Arabidopsis thaliana: one gene and its partners. Each later gene encodes a partner of the first gene's protein in a complex. Each region holds a gene or a part of one and is shown on either strand. Other genes may lie near its edges. The genes, in order: AT4G32820, AT1G77310, SGA2 and AT1G21610.

Region 1 (4,943 bases):
TTTCAAATATTACTTGAGAACCATAACATATATGTCAGAAGAAGTTTCAGACTTACAGAGTTTCCTGACTGGTCAAGGGAGTTCTTCACTTGAGAGATACAGAGAAGAATTGCCTTGACTTCCTCCGCCACCAAGTGATCCCAACTCTCACTTGAATTTTTGGACGAGGTTTTAGGTGTCACAACAGATTCTCCCGTACCAGTTGAATCTAAGAGAACTTGCAACTTTCTTCTATGACAGTTCATATAAACCTCTACATCTATAGGCTTACTCTTCTGGCATGCTTTTATTAAAACCTCAAGTGCCGATAACTCAACAGAGGAGATCCCTTCTTCCGTTTTTACAGCGTATGCAGGCAAGATGTCTTTATCTGGAAACAAAAGAGGTGCCAGTAAATTTACACACTCCGAATAAAATTCTTTCTCCATCATCTCAGGTATGTTATTTTCCAACAGGAAATCAATCTTAAGCAGATTAATTTCATGAATGATTCTATTGATGGTCAGCTCTCGAACTCTTCTGCAATGAGGTCGCTGAATTAAGACAGGAGCTTCTCCGATACCTTCCCTGCCCAACAATGACAAACACCTGAGATATTCTTCAAGTGCTTTAGCTTTATTATCCTCCAAAATTGATAACCGTGCACTCAGCCAGAAATATCGAGCCCAGAAAGATCTTGTATCATAATCTAACACCTCCTTAGCAGCCTCATCACCTTGAAAACTCTTAAATGAGGAGTCAGAAAACATTTTCCCTCGAGAACTAGGTGTAGAGTCGATAGCATAATCAAGGGAAACAGATTCAATTATCTTAGAGAGATGGTATGTTACTTCTACCATGCATGATGGGGCATCAGGGATATCTGATCGTTTAGAGTCAAAGTCATGGTACAGCTCGGCGAGAAAAAGACTGCATTCAGGTTTCCGATCTCGGCCCCAATGTCTTGTAAGCTTTTCTAACTCCAAAATTTTCAAGGCAGTCTCACGACTCAATACATGTTCACATTTATTAGCAATATATTCTAGAAGCAAGTGACCCATATGATACGCACCATAATTTTCTAAATTTTCCTTCACAAAATTAGAAACGACGGCGTGTTCAGAAATTGGATCAGATTCTTCATTGCAGAAAGAACCAGCAGACTCTCTGTCAAAACCCCTTTTAAGGACAAATTTCTCAAGATATTGAAGGATGTCACTGCTAGGATCCTTACTGTTATCAAATTCTAACCCTTCCTTCTCAGGTTTCTGGTTCCGAAGCCGTTCAAGACGAGTACTCCGCCTCTCTTGGGGGTGTTCTTCAGAAAACACAGGCTCTTTTTCTTTTACAGAACCACCACTTTCTCTCTCGATGTTGCAATCCTTAACAGACACATTACTTGAATCTGAATCCACACAATGATCCTTCTTTTTCATACCTTGCATAACAGCCTCTGTACTAAGGGATAATTCAATGGTTATCGGTATATCAGCTGATATGCCCACAGTTTCACGCGAAGGATGCACTATCCCAATTAGAATATTTAGCAGTGCCACCCATGAAGCTTCAGGAAGTTTAAATTGCACTCTTTTTCTTAACTTCTTGGAGGTAGCATCCATGTCCTGATTCATGTCAGACACCTTTCTTTTGCCAAGAAATTTGAGCCGAACGTGCTGAGGTTCAAGTTTATCTATACCCTTGGGAGCAAAAGGAGCTGAATCTGTGTCTTCAATACAATGTTTAACATGCAAAGCACGAGAATGTGATGGCCAATGCCTTAAAATCAGATTTGCAACTGAAAGACAGGAAACTTCATCACCTACGGCAATGAGAACTTCTAGAAGTTTCTCCATGCAGTTCCCTGCACATTAGCCAATTCAATTTTCAAGAGGGAGGGAAGGGTAAATGCAATAGTCCATACCACATATGAGTAATGTGAACCCAAAAACAGAGAGAGAAAGAGGAGAACAGTGCGTACAGTTATTGGGGCTGCAGAGAAGTCCCTGTTCAAATGCCCATCGTGAAATACTCAGTAATCCCATAGAACATGATAGGGTTCCAAGATGGTTCCAGAGCACAGAATCTTTTGCATCTAAGTCTATAGCTTGAAGATAACAGTTTAGAGCATTCTCGTAGTGACTTGAACCAAGCTCAAGAAAGACAGTGGCAAGATTCTTCAGAGCCAAAAATCTGCAAACAGAAATTATTTATAGGCGAGACCACAGCACTAATGAACTAAAAATATATGAACTAGACAAAATCAATTAGTAGACATGTAACCAATAACTAGATGAATTAAAACGATGGAGCTTGACCTGAGATGATGGAGATGATTGTCGTTTGCAATAGTCTCCACCTGGACATAATGTCAATAAGAAGGTCATTCATCATCCAAAGAAATCATCAGAGTAAGTGAAGAAGATGATTTTACTTTGGAGTTGGTTATAATAGGATCTTTAAGGATAGATTCTAGCAGCTCCCGAGCCTTGTCATAGTCTTTAGCTTGCAGCTTGAGAAGACCATCATGATATGTTTGTGACAGATGAAACTCCTGAAGAGGGCAATTTAAAAAAAAAAACAGTTCAATATATTTTTCAACAATGAGCTAATCTAACTTCTTTATACCAAATTGAGAAGAAAGAAGCCCTGAATCAGAAGAAAACCTGAGCTTCTTTGCTAGGAGCTAAAGGTTCCCACTTCTCTGTGGACTCCGTATCATTGATCGCTGCAATCGAAAACTGAAAAAAAAAAAAGCGAAACAAATGCAAAAAAAATCAAAAACTAACCGATTAAAAGGGGGATCAAAATTAAATCTTTGCCCGAAATTATCATTACCATCTTGATACTCGAAGCTGGTAATGGTTGGGGTTTTCGAGTTCTTGGCGCGAAATTGGTCAATCTTCTTCTTCTTCTAACTAGGGTTGATGATGCACGTTAAACACATTACTAGAGTTTTAGATTTCACAGAATTCTTTTCTTTGTTTGGTCTGTTCGTCCTCTACTGTGTTTTTCTTTTGTTTTGGCTATTTTGCCGTCTGTTAAAAAATTGGGGTTTTCCGATAATGTATTGTATATGCCTGAATTATGGAAATATCACTAAAAACACTTTTTTGCACTTTTGTATATATTGCAATTAAGATTTAATTTTTCTATTTTGAAGACTTTTTGTTAAAAGAGAGATTTGCTAACTCAAAATTACCGGAGTTAATAAGTTCGTTCTCATCAGATTAGCAAAACATTCATCTTTAAAGAAATCTGTTTATCTCACGTAAAATTCTACTAATTGGCAGCAGCACACTACTTTAATGGGCCTATTACTATTTCAATATGCACTGAAAACTTCATTGGACTGTCCAATAACATTATAACATTATTAAAACTAAACTACATTTGTATTTGGGTTACAATTTTATAAAGAGTAAGACTCAAGATACTAATTGGGCTGCAGACAACTTTAAAAGCCTTACTACAAAAATCAAAACCATTCTTAATTAACTAACAACCAGGTAAAAATCTCAGTACAATATTTACACTAAAAATAGGTGCCACCCACTATGCAAAAGTTTAGGGCCACGAACAAAAAAACCTGTAAATTGTTATGTCTTCACAATATGTGTTTTAATACACATGAATTTTAGCTACGGTTAATGTAAATTTTGTAGTTAAATTAAGGCTAAACAATCTCAAATATAAATTGGTCAGGTCCACAGACAACAGCCTGGCAAGTGGCAAGCACTAAAAATTCGACCGTTATTTTTTGCCCCTTTTTTTAATATTTCGAAATTGTATCTTTTAGTTTTATTTTAAAGCTTTTTAGCCCGCTCCTCCTCCGCTCCACCTTTAATTTTTTCACCAATTGGATTTGGATCTGTCAAAAATATTGGCCTCTTTCTCTCTTTCTCTCTTGCTCTCTTTCTTTGTTGGGTTGATCTCTTCTTCCATGGCGATCCCTACGGAGACACAACACCAGGAGAAGGTACTCTTTCACCATTCCATGATTCCTTCGTGTCGTTTTTAGCCAAATCTTTTTTCCGTTTCTTTCGATTTTTCTTTGTTCTTCCTTTTCTTTTGCACGATTTTAGGGTTTGAAACTTTTGTGAATTTGAACAATCGATTTATGTTTGGAATAGAAAGAGAATCAATTAGGGCAGATGTTCAAAAATTGCTCAATTTCAAAGCAGATTCGTTTCTAGCGATGATCTGAAAATTGGTTTTTATCAGGAGGCTTCAGATGCTTCTGCAGCAGCTGCACAAAAGAGATGGACTTTAAGCGATTTCGACATCGGTAAGCCTCTTGGCAGAGGCAAATTCGGTCACGTCTATCTCGCCAGAGAAAAACGGGTCAGTATATAACAATCTATCATCTTCCACCATCTTTCAAATTTTTGTTGTTAAAATCCAAACTTAAGAAGCATTTGTTTTAGATCCTTGATTGTTTTTCCTTCCACCAATCTCACACATACATGCAAAATGTGAAACAGAGCAATCACGTTGTCGCTCTAAAGGTTCTTTTCAAGAGCCAGCTTCAACAATCCCAAGTTGAACATCAGCTCAGAAGAGAAGTTGAGATTCAGTCTCATCTTCGTCACCCCAACATACTCCGGCTTTATGGCTATTTCTATGATCAAGTAACTTTTCATTTTTCTCCTTTTTTATTCACAGATAATTGTTATCCAATCTACTCTTGAGCATGATTAAGTTCTTCATTTGTTGCAGAAAAGAGTTTATTTGATACTTGAGTATGCTGCTAGAGGCGAACTTTACAAGGATCTTCAGAAATGCAAATACTTCAGCGAAAGACGAGCTGCTACTGTTAGTCATTCCTTCCACATTTTGACCTCTCAAACTGATTTCTTGTATGAAAACTGATATCCTTTCTATGTTCATTGTGCCAGTATGTTGCCTCATTGGCGAGGGCTCTCATCTATTGCCATGGCAAGCATGTGATACACAGAGATATTAAA
Region 2 (7,444 bases), on another chromosome or scaffold:
GAACATTTCGCACATGATCGGGAGAAGCGATGACATGGAAATCAGAGGGACCACTCCGAGATGGGTCGCAGCAGAGGAAGATTTCGGCACCGTTAAGCTTGAAAGCATCGAGAAGTGTGTCGAAGACTTCAGGAGGCACCAGATTCCGAGACATAAAAACATTTGCCCCTTTGAACAGTTGCGTCGTCTTCATCGCCGCCGGAAAACCTAACCACGCACTTCTCGACTTTGTAAGAGCTTCACGGGGTTATCGGAGAAAATTGAAACCCTAGAATCGTCGGAAGAAGATGGATATTAGAACCTAGTAGCATTCGCATAGCACGAGATTCGTCAAGCTCTGGATTTGAGGTCAGTGATTCGGCGTGGTAACTGGTAAGAAGAGAACGCGGGAATTTTCGGTGCGCTTTTTTTTTGGTCGTCCAGTCCAGTGAGCTTGATTTCAGATACATACTAATTCCTTTTTAAGGCTTTTTATTCTTTTATTATGACCCCTTATTGGGCCGCCGACAAATTTAGACCCATTTAGAAATAGGCTACATGTGTTGGTTTATTCCGTCAAAAAAAACAGATTGAAAGAATTGGAGCTTCTCTTAACATCTTTAATTTGTAACGAGGAGAGGGACTTCGTCTTCTACGTAAGAAACGACTAGAAAATCAATACTAGGCGCAAAAATTAGAAGCGAAACTATAGCTACGAAAAACAAAGGCAAGGCTAGAGCCAGACTTTGAGAAAAAAAATCTAAGCTGTAGTACCTAACTTGGCAGGTTCAGGTCTGGAGGAGTCTGTGTCTTGGCCTTTGGATGTACCTGTGCCTGTTTATGTGCCTTGGACTGTGGATGTACCTGTACCTGTTTATGTGTCTTGGATTTTAGATGTGTCTGCCGCTTCAGGGCCAGAACGAGGGGTTTCTCTGCGGGCAGGTGAGTTTCTTCTAGAGCTGGTTCTGTCTTTCTTCTGACTTTCTTTCCTTCTGCTGCAGGATTGCTTAAGCTCGAAGTTCGCTTTAATTTCTCATGTTGCTGCTTTGACCTTTCAAAGGACGAGTCTGCTGCAGGTTGACAGTCCACTAAGGACGTGGTGGTTGCAGTTAGGACAACACTTGCTTTAACTTCAACACCTGAAGTCTTGTCGGGATAAGTAATACCCTCAGATTTAGGGACCAATTGTGTCTGTTTCTTCTTTGTTATCTTCGTTTGATCCTAAAATAAAATAAAAGTTGAGGAATGATAAACATGAGCGAAATGTGCGAGTTCATGATAATATTCGATGACAAATGGATATTTATCACATCCAAAAGTTAGCACGTTAGAAGCAAACAAACAGCTATGGCGTAAAAAAGTTAAGAATTTCTCAAATACCATCTCCTTCCCAATGTTTCCTTCCAATGCTCTCCGCCTTTCCTTTTCCCGGCAAATGGCACGCCTGATCTCATGATTGTCAACTAAACTATTGGGCCACAGTTGAGCTAGCTGGAGCAAGAATAAATCCAAAAGAAAATCAATCAGGAAGGTTTGGTAAACAATCTTGAATATTAGGCAAGGTCTAGTCTAATGTTTTTGAATGGATCTGGAAAGCAAATAGACAAAGAATGGCAAAATATAAAGGTTGGAGAGGAACTTACATCTGAATAAAGCTTTCTGATTTGTGAACCTGAATGTTCATCCATTCCCTAGTATTACCAAAAACAGAGCAAAAACTATGTTGACACTTACAATTCTGCATCTAACAAGTTGGAACACCTTTTTATGTAAGGTTATGGAAAATATTAATTACCTCAACAAACACGTCATATAGATCACACAATTTTTCCTCCAGCGCCACATCCATGACAAACTTCTTCACAGGTGACTTTCCAAGAGATCCAACATCCTGAAAATCGTCTGATGTTCCAGCTTCTTGATTTGTTTCCTGTGAAACAATTTATGTCAGCGCAAGGAATATTTCAAAATATCAGATGTTTATCAATGTCTCAATAAAAGGGAGATATAAGTGCTTATCCAAGGCCAATCATAATCAGAGAGAACTCTGAGTTTCGTGCATCATCGAAAGAAGATGTTTAAATCCAACAATAAAGACAAGAACAAAAGTATCTATGCAACATAGCAGATACGAAATACTTTTGAAAATCAGATCAGAGAAACTAGTAGAGTAGAAGGGAGAGAACCTGGGATTCCACAAGTGGAACTTGTGTTTTTAACATCTCAGTTATTTCACTCTTGATCCGCTGAAATCTAGTATCTTTTTCTCGATTTGCAGTGACGATCGAATCAATCATGATTTTCAAGTTCCTCTGTACAATAACAATTACTAAACCGTAAGAGCTTGAACTCCTTCACTAACAAATACAGATCTTGTTAGCTCTTTCTGGAATGGAAGAGCTTTCACCTTAAATCGAAAAAATCTAAATACTTTAATGCCTCAGTAAGAATCACAACTCCATTACGATAACAAGTCTCGGTATGCAGGAGATAGAGATGAATACCTTAAGTGATCTAATCTGTATTAGATGACCGACAATGCCCATGAGACGATTGATTAACTCTCCTGATATTTCACCTTGGCTCGCATACTTCAAGAAAAGAAAATTGCTACTCTTCTTCATACATCTGAAAGATTATTAAAATTTATATACATATTTAGAAACAGAAGAGTTTGATTACCGCGATTCTAGCAACTTTAGCAAGATGCAATTTTACATCTCCTGGCAATCCCCTCTTCACTGCTTGGGAAGAGATATCGGCATCTTGATTCTCAGTGGCAGCAGGAGGCCTTGCTGCAATAAATTGGATATGATAGTTTACTAAATGGTATTTAGCTTCTCATGCATGTAGAGAACAACGAAACAGTTGAAACTCACATTCAGCGACCAACTTCTCCAAATTCCTGATGGCTTTCTCAAGTGTCGAGTATTTAGGCCGGCCATTTGAACCGCTTTTTTTCTAAATAGAGAAAGGTAAAGAGCAATCTAATGTAAATACCATGGGGGCTCCATTCCAAAAATAAAAAATTGAGTACAGATTGTAAGATATGCAAGAGTAAAGCATGGAAGCAAATATTAGCCAGAAAGATCAACCCAGAGTCGAGATGAAAACTAATTACAGATAGAAGCCATCTAATGCGTGAACTCTCCTAATTAAATGCTAATATCTTTACAATTACAGATCATTTCTACAGTCTCAAAGATTAGAGAAGCATCACTCTTGGATGTAGAAGATGAAAGCCCCAAATACATGCTTACTTCAAATTCCAAACTAACTAAAATGAGGAATCTAATAAACTTAAGATAGCTGGAAAGTACTTACAGATATTTGAATAGATGTTTTGCTTTCCGTTGCAATGTCCAGGTCAGGCATGCCATTGTTAACTTGCTGACGAACTACTGCTGATTTTGCCGAAACATTTGGCCGAGATTTTCCTGGAGGGGAATTAGATTGTTCATGAACACTTTTGCTGCTGCACTTCGGATGAAGGGGGCCAGAAGATCCAGCTGCCTTTGACTTCGGACTCGTGGCATTCATTGGCTGGTGATTCGCTTTATCAGTATGCTTCACATTTTCCAAAACTAAGGAATCATTGCCATTTTGCGCTTTCAAAGGGGAAAACGAATCTTGCACCGTCTTTGAATCATTGGAAATTTTCTTCGAAGAGGGCCCAGGAGAAGCAGATTGATCCTGGACTTTCACATTCAAATAATCAACTGTCTGGAATGGAACTCTAAAATAGATTCAAAAAGTTATTTGCAAGTAATGTACCTTTCCCCCAGCCGTCTTAGCCATCTTGGCTCGTTTTCTGGATACATCAACAACATCGCCACAAGGTTTTGCTGACTCCTTCCTTCGCCTTTTCTTTGGTTGCTGCTGGTTCGATGTAGCTGAAGGTTCACTGTTGTAGGAAGGAAACACAATTTAGATAAACTGGTAAGAATGGTAATGGAAGATAACCTACTCATAAGGAAACAGGGAAACCTGAATCCTATTTATAATCAGAGACCACAACGATACAAAATATTCATTGCGTTTTGACCATAACCTAGATATGTTAGCAGAGAAGTAGCAATATTATCAAGAAAATTCTATCAAATATTTCTGCCCTGAGTAAACATTGCATAAACCTAATTAGAGGGAAGAGAACGGTGATGCCAAATATATGTTCACACACTTATGCTGCCCATAGCCTATTCTCCACAACATATCACCAAATGAAAACTGACAAACCTGCCATAGAGAAATGCGACAACATACAACAAAAAGAGGACAAAAAACTTACATTCGTTCTAACTTTCCTCTATTGACAAAAAATCCATCATGTTTAATTGGCGAATTATCAACTTCAAAATACTCATCCTACAATGGGAAAAAAGAAAGAAAGAAAGAAGGATGTCTCAGCTATCAAGATACACTTTGATCACATAAGAAAGCCATAGTCAGGATATCTACACTAACCAATTCAGCATCATCGATAAATGAATCTTCAGTGTCATAGTCATCATCGTCAGGAGCACCGTCTAACTCTTCCCCATCACTACCGTCTTTACCCTGAAATTTATTTTATGAAGTATACGCTAATCAGAAATCTGTTGCAAAACCAGTGCTAATGCATGGTATGAAAAATGTTCCGAATAAGAAATCAAACATTCATCTTACTTGTTCAGATAATCAATAGAAACAGTAGTAAGAAAAGGTACCATATAAAGTCTCTCAATCTTGGCTATAACAGAGTTAAGACGATTAGGATGAGGTTGATTCACCATTTCATTCTCTGTTTGTGCCCCCTGCATTCGATATATCGCTAAATCATTAGACAATGATCAGTATCCACATTGAAATCACTATACAGCTTTAGTTTTGTTTCATTTTCAAGAGTTAGTTTATTGAAACCCTAGCTCTAAACTCAATGTCAAGGAGAAATTTCCCAATTCAGCTCCCGGAATGATGATACAATACAAAAATTGGTCTAACAGAGACAGAGAAATGAATACATGAGAATATGCATGTAGGCAGCTAAGAACTCACCGGTGCAAGGCGAAACTCGAGGTTAGGGTTGGCATTAAGAAGCCGTTCGGGAGCCGAAACGAACAAGCCGCCGTTTTCTTTGCTAGCCTCATCCATAAGCTTCTTCCACGATACGAGCGTGGTCTCCTCTTTGAGGAGTTCAACTTTAAGTAATTTCCGATCACCGGCGGTCAATATCTCAGACGAGATTTTACACGATTCGTTGAAAGTTGGACCGTCATCGGTTGGGAGCTTTGGTTCGTCCTCCATTTAGTGAATTGGGTCGGGTCGGGTCAGAGTTAGACTCTGTAGAGACCCGAATAGGAGAGGACGTGACTCTGGGACAAGAATCAAAGGAGTGGGGAATTGTGATGAGGAGGAGAATCTGAGAGAGATTGGAACTGAGAGGACGATTTTTGTTACAACGTTGCGCGGGATATCCAGCAATGAGACGCTTCTTAAGCTTTTATTTATTTTCTTTTATTTTATTTTTTCTCCTCCTCGTAAACAGGTTTTAATTATTACTATTTATTTTTTTCTGTCTCTCGGAAAATGATTTTTGTTTTTTTAGTGCAAATTAAATGTAAACAAACATATTTAGGTTTCAATTTTTCAAAAAATTAAAATGACTAAATATGAGAGAATCCTAAGAATCACTTTTCAAGAGAAAAAAGTGTCTATTTTGTCTATAAAATAAATTAAAATTTGTTAGAGGTTAAATAATGTTTTTATTAAGCTTTTGGTTTCATAAAAGTGGATGTGGTAATATGTTTAATTAATTATGAAAATATCATGTGTCATTCTTTGTTTTGTCCGTTAATTAATGAAACATCAAGTAACGAGGAGTTGTTACATAAGTTATTCTAAGAAATTCGAAGAGACAACAATTTTATTTTGCTTGCCTTGCTTATGTATTTGCCTTAGAATTGTTGCTTTTTGCATTAATATTGTTCTTGAGGAAACTGCGTCGGAATAGGTCAATACCGAGAGACGGCATTACAGTAAGACTACATCAACTCCAAACTACAAGTCTGTTTTGTTGATCATACAAAAGCGAAACAATTAGTTTTAGTGTTCGTATGGTTTGTTCTCATATTTCCAAGATGCATCCAAAAGTGCGTTGAGAGAAGTGAGTGGGACATGGTTATGTGTACAAGTAGATTATAACTTGATTAGTTCAATTCCCGCATCTCATATTTTTGTTCTCAACTCCATTGTTTTTCTCTCTTTTTTTAGCAATGGAATGATGATCCATAGCTTATTGTCATATATCAAAGCATTCCTTGGTTTCCATATTATCAAAACTATGAATTAGGCACAGATTTTATGCATCATGTGTAGCTAGATGATAGCATAAGTTTTTCTCTTAGCTCTTAATTCTCCCTTGGATTATGATATCACCTCCATGGCTCCATATAGACAGACAGTAATGCAAACATCAAAATATAGTAATTATCAACAACTACAACACTATAAGCCTATATAACACCCTTGCAGTTCCACGCTTCCCAGGGATCATGGCGATACTCTTCTGCTCTCTCTTTTATTGTGATGCTTCTTTGATCTCTTATAAAGTCGACATAGTCTCCAACCTCTAAGTTCCGCCGCAACTGCTCATTCATCTTCAATATGGACGGTGTCCGACGACATATATGATATGGATGAGAAGATGAAGTGGATGAGGTGGACAACAAGAAGAAATACTGCGACTTCGTGTATGAATATCCTCCCCTTAGCTTCCACGTTTTTGGCTTCTAATGACAGGGATCATAGCAAGGGTTTGGTCACATTCAAACCGTGACTCAATATCGTTAACAAGACTCTGATTCGGATAAATGCTTGGCTCATCATCATCGCACTTATTTGCATCTTCAACGAGGAGAACACAAGTCAGTTAACCATCGTTGTCTGGAGCTATGAAACTTATTCCCGCTTGCTTGGTCGCGAAAGTCTCCGCCGATGTTATGATTGCGAATGAGTGGGGCTGTGTGAGTCTTATTGTAAAATAATAATACAACTAGCTAGGTTTGGTAGACTAAAGTTATTACATGAACTTTTATTCTGATATACACATACAATATATATTTCTTTTTTCTAATGATAAACCATTATGGAAGAATACTAGCGAGAATCTTATTAGAACGAACGACTAATCAAGTAATCATAGACTAAAGAAGCTAATTAAACGACTAATCATGTCTTTATGGACCACCTTTGGGACCATTTTGATTGAACACAACTCCCCAATAGATCTGAATATCTTGGAAATAAATTGGCAATGTATTTTTAGTAAAAGCTTGTGTGAATTTTCTCTACAAAAAAGTTCTAACTTTTATTGTTTTGACATATGTTTGGGTAAGATTTAAAAAACCTATGACTTTATCGAAAAATATAAATATTTTTTTGTTTGTCAATTAAATTTTCATCGTAATCATTGAGATTAAAATAAAAT
Region 3 (3,775 bases), on another chromosome or scaffold:
ATAGGTAATATAATTCTTATTCGTTATTGTCAAGTATAGGAATATATTATGTATTATTAGGTATTTAAAAACAACAATCTGTTTATTATAAAATATCGTATTTATTCAAAACATATAGGGCTTACTGGGCTTAGCCGAACACGGCTTTTATAATGTTATTGAGTTTAGTAATTAGATCTGTATTAATAAAAGTTTGAATAAAATATTTTTTAATATTTTAAAAGATATTTTCTTTTAACAAAACAAACATTTTTTTTTTTTCAAAGTAATCGAAATGGAGCCGTTTTTAACTATCTTTCGGTTTACCACAGAGTAAAATCGTTAGGCGAGAAATTGTAATGTGTACTACTTTTTTTTTTTTTTTTTTTTTGGTGAATAAATGCGGACTCATATTTTTGGCAGAACAACTGTGAAACGGTCCTAAAAAAATCACGGACTCATGTTTTTTTGGTGAAAGAATTATGGTTGATGATGATGATAATCATCATCATCAATGCTAACTATGACCATTTAACGGCACTTTTTTCAACAAATGATGAAGATCAAATGTCGCTTTGTACCTTGAGAAAATCTAGGGAAGTTATTCTACACCTATTACCAAATTCCAACCATCAGAACTCAGAATCTTGTTTGGCAACTGTTGGCTTTGCTTCGATTTAAAAAACCTTTGCCCAAAACATAAACATACAAAAATGTCAAGAATCACTTCCCTAAAGCCTCTAGAATTAAGTACAACAAACAGCATATAATGCTTTTGAAAGACAGAAAAGCAAAGCGCAACATCTGTGGAGACAATAGTTCTCAATTCTCATCCACTTTTCTTCAACTAGACTTGGTATAAGGATCATGATTCCTCAGGTTTTGGTTCTACTGACTGATCAGGTAAAACCTGAGCTTCACCATTGACATTAGGTTGTTGTTCATCAGATTGTTCAGGAGGAGCGGCAGTAGCAGCAGTCTGCTCTTCTTCTGGATGAAAATCTATAGGAAATTTAGTAACTCTAGGTTTGTCGGAAAGTATGTTCCTCTGAACTTTATCAATCAAAACCTTAGTTGGAGGCTCTTCCTTGAGTTGCTCATCCTCATAATCATTGTTCACGTAATATCCAACTCTCAAGAACTCTTGACCCATGTAAGAACATGTCAACAATAGCACAGTAACACCGATGATGTCTTCCTCCTGAATCTTTGATGGATCCGGAGGATCAGCCTGTAACAGTAGTAATAGAGAGTTAGACCAAGACTTTGTTGGTGCTTGGAAGAGGTAGTAGTGCATATGTTACCTGAAATACAAAGCGGTAGTTGCCAACATTAACAGGCCCTACAAGCACACTCTCTAGAAGTTGATCATAAGTCTCATCTTCTGCTGAGCCTACATAGATAAGCTTCCATTCCAAATCTGTACCACAAGCAAAAGCACGGGTCTATCTAAGTTATCCTCACCCTATAACAATGTTAACCAAGAACTTGTGCATAGATAAATCCAACTAATAGACAACAAGACTCTAGATTATCAATTAGAAAACAAACCATTAGAGCATGACTCTGACAAAGCAATTAGGTAACAATATGTTCCAATTACAATCAGCAGCAACAAATTGGTGTTGAAAACAATCCATAAGAATCAGCAGAGACTAAAACCTAAATAAAGTCGAGATGAATTACAATTCAGGGGAAGGAGAAAGAGGAGATTTTTACCGTCTTTGAGAGAATTCAAACACTCGTAAGAAATCTCGAACTGAAAAGGGCTAACAAAAGGAGCAGGATTATGCAATACAGCGACGTTGGTGATTTTGATTGCACTCATTATCTCTAATCAACAACCAAGTCGGAGAAAAACCCTAGGTTTCAATAAACTTCATCCAAACTCGGGAGAGAGAGAGACCCAGATGAAAAAGTTTCTCCCTTTTCAAAAAATTCGAAAGCAGATAATTCAAGAGAAGAGAGAAGAAGGAAGAGCTAGGGTTTTTTTTCCCCAGGAGAGAATTAATCAAAGAAGAAGCTTCAGAGTTTTTTTTTTTTTTTTTTTTTGATTAAGAAGACGATGAAAATGTTTTCAATTTTGGGGATGGCTTTCTTATAACCGGTTGTCGTTGGAATGGTGACCGGCTACTACCGGTTAAGTTGAATTGGCGGGAGGAATACTTTAACTCACGAAATGCAGCAGGGAAATTTGCTAAATATTTGATAATTTTAGTGTCCAACACATAAATACGAAAAAAATATAGAATTCAATCGATTAGTGACACAAATAAGAGATTACCAATCATATCCTATATACTTTTTTTTTTTTCTATCTTTCAATATTTTGTTACCAGTGTTACCATTTGTGTTTACGACATCAAAAAAGAAAAAGTGACGCACATAGATAATATATACAGATGGGTTAAATATTCACATAGTTCTAGGTAGAAATATTTACACATTCTACCTACAGATTAAAAACCACAAAAAATATTTTGTGAGTTAGGTTCCTATTTAAACACCCTTGCAACTTTGCAAGTGCTTGATAGCAAAAAAAAAAAAAAAAAAAAAAGTCTAAACGAACCAAAAGCAGATAGGAAGCGTGTTAATGTTGAGAAGTGATGTTCATTTTTCTGGTTTGAGCATGAAACATCTCTGCGATATCTGTAGCCGTACTACATTCTTCAGGATTTCTATCTGTCACTTTACTGATAAATCTCGGAAACCTAACAGAGATGCCTCGCGATGGATGGACGAGACCTAAACTGGCACTGTGAACAGGCGAGACTGTGAAATCAGCACCTCTGATTTCCCAAACTACCTCTGCGGAAAACCACATGTCAGGTGTCTCCCCTGTTCTGTAGTAAGGCGGCTTTTTCGCAAGGATCTTATCCTCCGAGTAGAATTCTTTCATCTGCAAGATAAGCAAAATAAGAAAGTAGAATCAAGCTTGAAATGGTTCTCACGTGACAATTAGGAGTCCAAGTATAGACCAAACCCAACGTATTTACTACCCCATCTGTTTCATCATTAAACAACAACGTTAGAGTTGAGCTTTTCATTACCTCGATGTAAAAGGCATCAGAAAAACCAGACATGACACGGCAGACACTCTGGAATTCTTCAGTCTCAGGGTTGAAGCAGGCCATAAGGAATGGACTATACCTACACACAAAATATATAAAAAACATCAGAATTCATCAAGATGCATTTGAGAAATTACCAGTAAACTTATGATTACAATTCTGCTTTTCAGAAAAAAAAAAAGAGAAAGTTGGAAAATATGTTTTTACTACCATCCTGCTTTTCTCCCATTGCCATACCAAGCACCAATAGGAACTAAATCCAATGTATCGCCCAATCCATCTACATAATCTCGCTTAACCTGAGCCAGAAAAGAAAAGCATTATTTAATCCATTTCCATCACATTATGTTTTAGTAAGATAATTTACAGCAAAGAGACCTTGAGCCATGAATCAGAGCGCTTTGTGGGGCAGTATCCAGCATTTACATCTAAAGACTTGACCATGATTCCTTCACAAGATGACTGAAATGCTTCTTCAAGAAAAGCATTTATCCTACTCAATGTGTCATGATTATTCAGAGACGCTTCTTCTGCTCCCACCTATAAAAATCAAACAATGATCAGTTCAATGAAAATACCAAAACACTTAGATACAGAAGAAGGCTATAGCCTATAACTTCTAGGTGAGAAACTACCGTAGCACTTACAGTTATTTCCTTAGCATACTCAAGATAACCTGGCCTAGTCTCAGGGAAGACCTCCTTTAGACCTGTAAGTTCAAGCAA
Region 4 (7,355 bases), on another chromosome or scaffold:
CGATCATCAAGAAGTAATCGGGATCTGATGTCAGCAATGACGCCATCGTTTGAAGCTTTCTTTGGTCTAACTTCGAGATCATCTCTTCAAACGGAGCCGCAACATGATCTTCGTTATTAGTCATTACGGACATCCATTGCAATTTGCAAACGCATCTCCAGTTCTTGAGGAGTTAATGCGGCCAAGAATGAGTAATTAGTTAAAGGCGACGGAGATGGTGTGAATCTCGGAGGAGGAAACGCGACGGAGATGCAACGTGGATGAGGAAGAGCAACCGCCGGATACTCTTCTGAGATGGGTTCTCTTGCGGCGGCAAAACGGAGCTGGTGTGCCATCGTAAATTGTGGAGAATGAGAGAGTGTTGAGAATCTGTGAAATAATGAGCCATATTTATACTGTTTTACAAGTAATAATAATATTAATTAAAATTGATTATTCATATTGTGTCAAAAGGATTAATGTAGTCATTTTGATGTATTTCATCAATTTTACATTATCGTCCGAAATCAAATTTTCAACTACGTTACCCAAAATTCAGTACTAAAACCTGCTCTGTTTTTTTTACTCAAAAGTAAAGAGTTGCCCGTAAAATCATAACTTTATACATTAGAGTTTTGAAAAAGGACACGTAAATAGAGTAACTAACTTAATAAGAGCCAAACTGGAATACAGACAACTTTATAAACCATGCTTTGTAGCTAAAAAAACCAAGCATCGGCATCGCCAGGACTAATGCCGTGCCACCTCAAAATACAAGGAAGGAAGAGGCCAGAGGTTATTGTCTCCGGCGTTTCTAAGAGCTCCTTTGTCAATCGTGATGTCAACTTGGCAAGTTCAGGTCCGGGGTTGTTCGTGGGATGTTCAGATTCTGAGGAGCTGGGATTACACGTGTCTGTGGATGTTCGGGCTTCTTCAGGGCAAGAACGACTTGTTTCTCAGCCATTACAGCCTCGTTCTTTCTCTTGACCACTCTTGTTTCCTCTGTAGGATTGCAAGAGCTTGAGATTCCCTTTAGCTTCTCAGGCTGCTGCTGATTTGATCTGTCAACCATAGTTTGACTAGTGACCACGGAAGTGCTGGTTGCATTTGGATCAACAATCAATTTTTTTTCCCCACTGTGTTGTCTCTGAACCACTAATTCGGTGTTGGGCTGAGCAGTACAGTCTGTTCTTGGTACCAACTGCTTCATACTCTTCTTCATCTTTGTTTGATCCTTTAACAAAGCAGAATCTAATCAAGCAAAGCAAATTGCGAAAATTTTAATGCAAAGAGGTAAAGGGCTGAGAAAATTCTTTAACTACCATCTCTTTCGCAAGGTTTCCATACAATGCTTTTCGTCTCTCCTTTGCCCGGAAAATTGCATGTTTGATCCCACGATAATCCATCAATCTATTTGGCCAGAGTTCAGCCAACTGGAGCATGAATAATTCCAAAACAATATTCATCAAGCTCTAACAAACCACCTTGAGCTTTTGGCTAGGTCTAATTGGTGATTTAAGACATGAGATAAGCTTGGAACAAAAAAAACCAGAATACCAAAAATAATCGGGAATGGAGAAGGGCTTACATTGACATATAGCTTTTTTGTTTGTGGACCTTGATCTTCATCCAATCCCTAATATACCAAAAAACAGGAACAAAACCGTTTTGACTCTAATTCTATGTCTAGAATTGGCATGGCAGATTATAAAGGTAAATGATAATTACGTCGATAAATATGTCATATAGGTCACACAATTTATCCTCCAATGCCGCATCCATGACAAACTTCTTCAAAGATGGCTTTTCTACTGAGTCCTGAAAATCGTCTGATGTTGCACCTTCTGGTTTGATTGCCTATGGAACATAAAATGATAGTGCAAGAAATATCATAAATGTCACAGGTGCCTCAACATATTAATAGGAGGAAAATACGCTACAAAGGCAGATTGACCCACAGGGAACATCGAAAACAAAAGAATGAAGAGCTTGATCTACGGAAAACCATTATCAGAGAGAACTCCAGATTTCATAAAAGTTAATGACACTTCCAAGAATGTAATAAGATAGAAAAGCCATGGATGAAAGAAATGCCTATCAAGCAACTTAAGATTAGAACAGAGAGAGAGAGAGAGAACCTGTGATTCCATCAAAGAAACTTTGGCCTTTATCATATCAAGAACTTCATTGTTGATTTGCTTGAACCTAGTATCCTTTTCTCGGGTTGCAGAATCTCCCATATCAATCATGATTTTCAAGTTCCTCTGCAAAATAAGCATTACAAAGAGTAAGAAACCATATTTTGTTTGCTTGTACCTGAAACAGAAGAGTTTTTCACTGGAACATGAATGTCCTGAAGAAGACTAACTATTTAAACACCTTGACGAAAGTCCTAACAAGTCTGCTTTAGTAACAGAAAGACTAGGATACAGGAGACAGAAAATTTTACCTTAAGAGACCTAAGCTGGATTAGGTGACCAACAATGCTCATAAGACGGTTGATTAACTCTGTTGAATGTTTTCCCTGGCTTGCCTGCTGCCACAAAAGGCATATTAGTTTTTTCTCATACCGTTTCAAGTTTCAAAAAAATGAGAAGAACAAATGGAAAAGCTCTAGTACCGCAATCCTAGCAACTTTAGCAAGTTTCAATTTAACATCCCTGGGCAATCTTCTCTTCACTGCCTGGGATGAGGTATCAGCTTCTTGATTTTCAGTGATAGCAGGAGGCCTTGCTGCTTATAAATCATAAATTCTTGTAAGTTGAAAATCACCAAATGCTATTCTAGTTGGTCACACTTGAAAAATATTAAAACTCACATTCCACAACCACCTTCTCCAGTTCCCTTATGGCTTTCTCGAGGATTGAGGTTTTAGACTTCACATTAGAACCATCTTTTTTCTGAGTAGAGACAGGTTATTGCAGAATTATAAAGCAAGACTGATGTAAACTTTGTGGTAAGAAAAATGCATGGAAGCAAAGATTGACCAGAAAAATATCACAGAACCGAGATGAAAACTGGAGAAACAAAACTACGACCTTAGAATGCAACCAACTTACTGAGTGTATTTTATGTAATTGTAGACACAGTTGGAATGTACTTACAGACGCTTGACTAGATTGTCTGCTTCCCGTTACATTTGCCAGCTGATGCATACCATTGTTTTCTTTCTGACGGACTACTGTTACCTCTGCAAAGACATTGGGGGGAGATTTTCCTAGCAGGGACGTAGATTGTTGGTGTAAGCTTTTGTTGCTGTATTTCTGATGAAGGGCACTAGAGGATCCAGTTTCCCTTGACTTGTGACTTGTATCATTCCTAGACTGATGATTTGCTCTATCAGAATGCTTCACATCATCCAGAGGTACTGAAGTATTTGCATCTTGCGCTCCAGAAGGCAAAGGTGACTCCTGTGTTTTCCAGGACCCAGGAGCAGTTGATTGATCCTGGACTTCCCCATTCGTATAATCAGTTATCAGACTCAAACTCCGACATAAATTAGTATGATTTGCAATAAAAGATGTTACCTTTTTCCTAGCTGTTATAGACAACTTGGTGTGTTTATCGGATACGTCAACTGCATCACGACAGGGTTTTGCTGAATCTTTTCGTCGCCGTTTTTTGGGTTGCTGGTTAGATGTTGTTGAAGGTTCCCTATTGTGAAAATGAATCAGGGATTAGATAACTTGTAAATGAAATATAGCATGATTAGGCAAAATGAGAAAAACTCTATCCTATCGAAAGTGCAAAACCTACATCTATATGAACGTTTTTTAACCAGAAAAGTTGAAAAATGGACTTTACCCATACCAAACACCCTACAGACATTAGTTAAGGCAGTAGTAGCAAGACTGCCAACCATATTTTACCATTTGGAGAGACTACACATATCCAAATAGGAAGAAAAACTGAAAAGCAAGGTGATTTCATATGTTTATTTCAAAAACTTACGACATGCCTATTCTAAACATGATCTGAGTGATTGAAAAGTGACAAAGCCACCAAAGAGTTAAGAGACATCAGATAATGAAAAGAGGAAGATAACTCACATCCGCTCCAACTTGCCTCTATTTACATAAAATCCATCATGTTTAACTGTTGAATTATCAACTTCGAAATACTCATCCTGCAAGGAGTAGAGTAAAACAGAGATATGATTTCTCAGCTATCAAAAATATTTGAAAGATATCAACACCAACCAGTTCAGCATCATCTATAAATGAATCTTCAGTGTCATACTCATCATCATCAGGAGCACCGTCTAACTCTTCCCCATCACTGCTATCGTTCCCCTGAGATTTATTCTCTGAAGTAAGCATACACTTTTCAGAGATGTGTGAATGCAACAGTGCTATTGCATGGTATGCAAAAATGTTGTGAATGTGAAAAATCAAACATATAACAACCTACCAAGAAAAGTGTTTTAACAAAGAGTAGCATACCTTATAGAGCCTCTCTATCTTCTCAATAACAGCGTTGAAACGGTTAGAATGAGGTTGTTCATTCGTTTCAATCTCTACTGGATGCCCCTACATTATATACGAAAATACAGCTGTTGAAAATGATTTTAACCACCCATATTGTATGCATAAGAAGAATATATTGTGAGGAAGCTGCAAGCATATTATACCATCTTAAATGAAGATCCACTATTATATGCTTCATTCTCTTGCACTAATAGATATTAATAAAACTTTCTCTATATTCTTCACTATTACAGCTATAGTTTCCATTGCAACTATGTGAACCAAATTCCTTTCCAGATCAAGTATAATTGATGGCATATTCACATTGATAACGATGAAGTTAGCCTAATGTAGCTAGCAATTAGAAATGAAGCCAAAGATCATATATCAGGTTGTAGACTTTCTCCGTTTAAGGAGTTTGCTTATTGAACTCTAGTCACAGACGTCAGAGAGCAATAACAACAGAATTCCTCCTATACCATATCGATTTCAAGCATTTTCCCCAACAAATAAATCTGAAAATCTGCGAATTTAGTAAAGCTCCTTTATAAACCCTAACAAAGATTACAACTCCCCGAAACAAGACAAATGCTTACTCCAATAACAGCAAACGAAACCCACAAATGCCTACAAGTATATATATCCGATTACCAATTCCTACAACATCAAACTCACCGGTGCAATTCGAAACTCAAGGTTAGGGTTAGCATTAGGAGGCGGGTCGGGAACCGAAGCCGATAAACCATTGACCTTACCAGCATCCCTCATAAGCTTCTTCCACGAAACATACGTCGTATCCCCTGGCCGAAGCTCCACCTTGAGTAATTTCCGATCACCGGCCGTTAAAACCTTCGGCGACGCTCTCAACAATTCGCCGCCAATAGAACCACCACTCATCTCATTAACTTCCGACATTAATAATTCGGGTCGGGTCGGGTCGGATCAGTTTGATCCACTATATACTAACCCCTGGGTTCGAGACGGATTGATCTAAACAGCAATCAAGAGAGTGGAATCGATGAATCGATGTAGAGAAACTGAAACTGAGAAGAAAAAGTTGCGCGGGATACCAAAAATGACGCTCTTAATTATTTCCTAATTTATTTTTGTTGTTTTATTCACTAAAAAGGATTATTATTATATTATATAGTTTTTCTTTTTTTTTTAATTGTATTTTTCCTCGAAATATCTAATCCACAGATAGATAGAACACTCTGTGAGCTTTATCCGCTTCCAATGGCGTCTTCCGCCGCTTCTCCTTCCTTATCTCTACTCTCATTCACCTCGAAGCCACCTTATCCCTCCGGCTCTCAGCGGCTATTTGCGTCATTCAGAACGGACGGTCTTTTCGCGCCTTTAACACTGAAATCCCGACGCGGCCGTGGTATAGTCGTTAAAGTAGATGACGTCGATGCTGATGGAGGTGGAGCGGACGAGTATGATATGGATGATGAGGAGGTAGAGGAAGTTGACAACAAGAAGGACTATGATGTCGAGTATGACCCCTTGGCCGCCGCGATAGCCGCTGCAGGCGGTGGTGGTGATGGAGATATCGCTTTTGTTCAGAGTAAGAGTTTTATATCGACACAAGGATGGGATTCGGATATGGTGGTTGATTATCGGATAAACGAAGATGAGTTTCATAAACTCAGCTTAATGGACTGTGATTTCTTTATCAGAAAACCTCCTGATCCAGATAATGATGTTTATGATTTCAGAGAGGTGTGTGAATTCCCAGTGACTCTAATTGCTCATTTCTTCGATTTCTCTAGAGTCTGTGCTCATTCTTCAATTGTAAATTGTTTTGTGTGGGTGGCTGCAGATGTATGTTACTCCTCCGGATACAGATATTTACTCAATTCCGAGAGTTCTTGCACCGATGCCTCAAAAGGTCAGTCATTTATCCTTATCGGTTGCTGTTTTTGTAATGCCTATGCGTTGTTCTGAGACTTCCTTTTGTTCAGCAAGATAATTGCTTTTCATATTGTGCTTAATTGCTAATTGAACCCATATACCTCCACTCTACCTAGTAATTGTATCACTTAAGAAATCTTATCTGCACAGAGCTCTACCTAGTAATTGTATAACCCATATACCTTCACTCTACCTAGTAATTGTATAACTTAAGAAATCTTATCTACACAGAGCTGTACACGTTTGGTATTGTTTGGAACTTCTACTCACACTGATAGACTGGAATTTTGAACATATAATCTCAAAAAGTGCCGTAAATGGTCAGCATTTAGTATGATTAGAGAGTCAGAATGTAGCAGCTGGGTGTTTGTTTAGTCACTTTCCTTTCATTCTGTGGCCAGTTTTGTACTCTTTGCTGCTTCATGATTGCGTATGTTTTACATTGTAAGGTTTATTTATAAGCAAGTTGTTACAATGAGTGAGTGGTGCTAACAAGGGCTTGTTTAATGATGTTACAAGTACAGTATATTCGATGTGCAATGAGTGACTATGGATGTTACAATGTCACTGAACCACCTATTGATGCCCCCAGAGATCCACTGTACAAATCTGAGAGGGAGATATCCAAGGTACATATTGGACCATGTACATTGATGTTAAATCCATTAGGTCTTTGATGCAGGGAGTCTTGAGCAACATGTATTAACAAGGATGTACTTAGTTTTGATTTGACAACATTTTTGGAAACCACACCAGGAAATATGTTTTTTAAGCATTAAGGATGAGATCAACACGAAACTACTTAGTTTAGTAGTTACAGTTTCTGATACAAATTGTCTTCATCGTGTTTATTTTTTATGCAGGTTTTCTTGACAAAACATTACCGGAACAGAAGGACAAACGATCCAGAATTTGTGCTAGATCTTGAAGAGATATATGTTATTGATTCCAAGACAAAGTCAATCACCAGAGCCAGAGTTCTGGTATGACTAATTC

What was found.
Region 2: AT4G32820 (region 1) and AT1G77310 share a complex: the UniProt entries of both Arabidopsis thaliana proteins name them as parts of the HIRA complex.
Region 3: AT4G32820 (region 1) and SGA2 share a complex: the UniProt entries of both Arabidopsis thaliana proteins name them as parts of the HIRA complex.
Region 4: AT4G32820 (region 1) and AT1G21610 share a complex: the UniProt entries of both Arabidopsis thaliana proteins name them as parts of the HIRA complex.

Annotation. Positions count from the first base shown.
Region 1 is NC_003075.7:15,838,638-15,843,580, forward strand, and holds the start of AT4G32820 (Tetratricopeptide repeat (TPR)-like superfamily protein), read right to left. Parts: upstream 3,007-4,943; 5' UTR 2,818-3,006; coding exon 2,815-2,817; intron 2,718-2,814; coding exon 2,643-2,717; intron 2,531-2,642; coding exon 2,411-2,530; intron 2,336-2,410; coding exon 2,295-2,335; intron 2,170-2,294; coding exon 1,958-2,169; intron 1,841-1,957; coding exon 57-1,840; intron 1-56. Other genes in the region: AUR1 (ataurora1), read left to right, coding at 3,920-3,955, 4,201-4,320, 4,461-4,607, 4,696-4,791, 4,875-4,943. UniProt on the Arabidopsis thaliana protein: May be required for replication-independent chromatin assembly.
Region 2 is NC_003070.9:29,049,489-29,056,932, reverse strand, and holds AT1G77310 (wound-responsive family protein), read right to left. Parts: upstream 5,436-7,444; 5' UTR 5,263-5,435; coding exon 5,014-5,262; intron 4,773-5,013; coding exon 4,686-4,772; intron 4,537-4,685; coding exon 4,444-4,536; intron 4,345-4,443; coding exon 4,268-4,344; intron 3,884-4,267; coding exon 3,754-3,883; intron 3,673-3,753; coding exon 3,304-3,672; intron 2,941-3,303; coding exon 2,859-2,940; intron 2,775-2,858; coding exon 2,662-2,774; intron 2,571-2,661; coding exon 2,484-2,570; intron 2,292-2,483; coding exon 2,166-2,291; intron 1,910-2,165; coding exon 1,775-1,909; intron 1,671-1,774; coding exon 1,623-1,670; intron 1,471-1,622; coding exon 1,360-1,470; intron 1,201-1,359; coding exon 754-1,200; 3' UTR 502-753; downstream 1-501. Other genes in the region: MEI1 (transcription coactivator), read right to left, coding at 14-193. UniProt on the Arabidopsis thaliana protein: May be required for replication-independent chromatin assembly.
Region 3 is NC_003070.9:24,890,618-24,894,392, reverse strand, and holds SGA2 (ASF1 like histone chaperone), read right to left. Parts: upstream 2,054-3,775; 5' UTR 1,808-2,053; coding exon 1,699-1,807; intron 1,400-1,698; coding exon 1,284-1,399; intron 1,211-1,283; coding exon 845-1,210; 3' UTR 517-844; downstream 1-516. Other genes in the region: LIG6 (DNA LIGASE 6), read right to left, coding at 2,570-2,878, 3,030-3,129, 3,261-3,349, 3,429-3,590, 3,698-3,759. UniProt on the Arabidopsis thaliana protein: Histone chaperone that facilitates histone deposition and histone exchange and removal during nucleosome assembly and disassembly.
Region 4 is NC_003070.9:7,572,109-7,579,463, reverse strand, and holds AT1G21610 (wound-responsive family protein), read right to left. Parts: upstream 5,521-7,355; 5' UTR 5,361-5,520; coding exon 5,121-5,360; intron 4,509-5,120; coding exon 4,422-4,508; intron 4,272-4,421; coding exon 4,179-4,271; intron 4,106-4,178; coding exon 4,029-4,105; intron 3,634-4,028; coding exon 3,507-3,633; intron 3,426-3,506; coding exon 3,084-3,425; intron 2,880-3,083; coding exon 2,798-2,879; intron 2,713-2,797; coding exon 2,600-2,712; intron 2,516-2,599; coding exon 2,429-2,515; intron 2,244-2,428; coding exon 2,118-2,243; coding exon of another isoform or gene 1,974-2,117; exon of another isoform or gene 1,837-1,973; coding exon 1,708-1,836; coding exon of another isoform or gene 1,666-1,707; exon of another isoform or gene 1,616-1,665; coding exon 1,568-1,615; exon of another isoform or gene 1,413-1,567; coding exon 1,299-1,412; intron 1,214-1,298; coding exon 821-1,213; 3' UTR 508-820; downstream 1-507. Other genes in the region: PUM20 (pumilio 20), read right to left, coding at 1-84, 128-335; PTAC6 (plastid transcriptionally active 6), read left to right, coding at 5,682-6,167, 6,268-6,336, 6,884-6,988, 7,223-7,342. UniProt on the Arabidopsis thaliana protein: May be required for replication-independent chromatin assembly.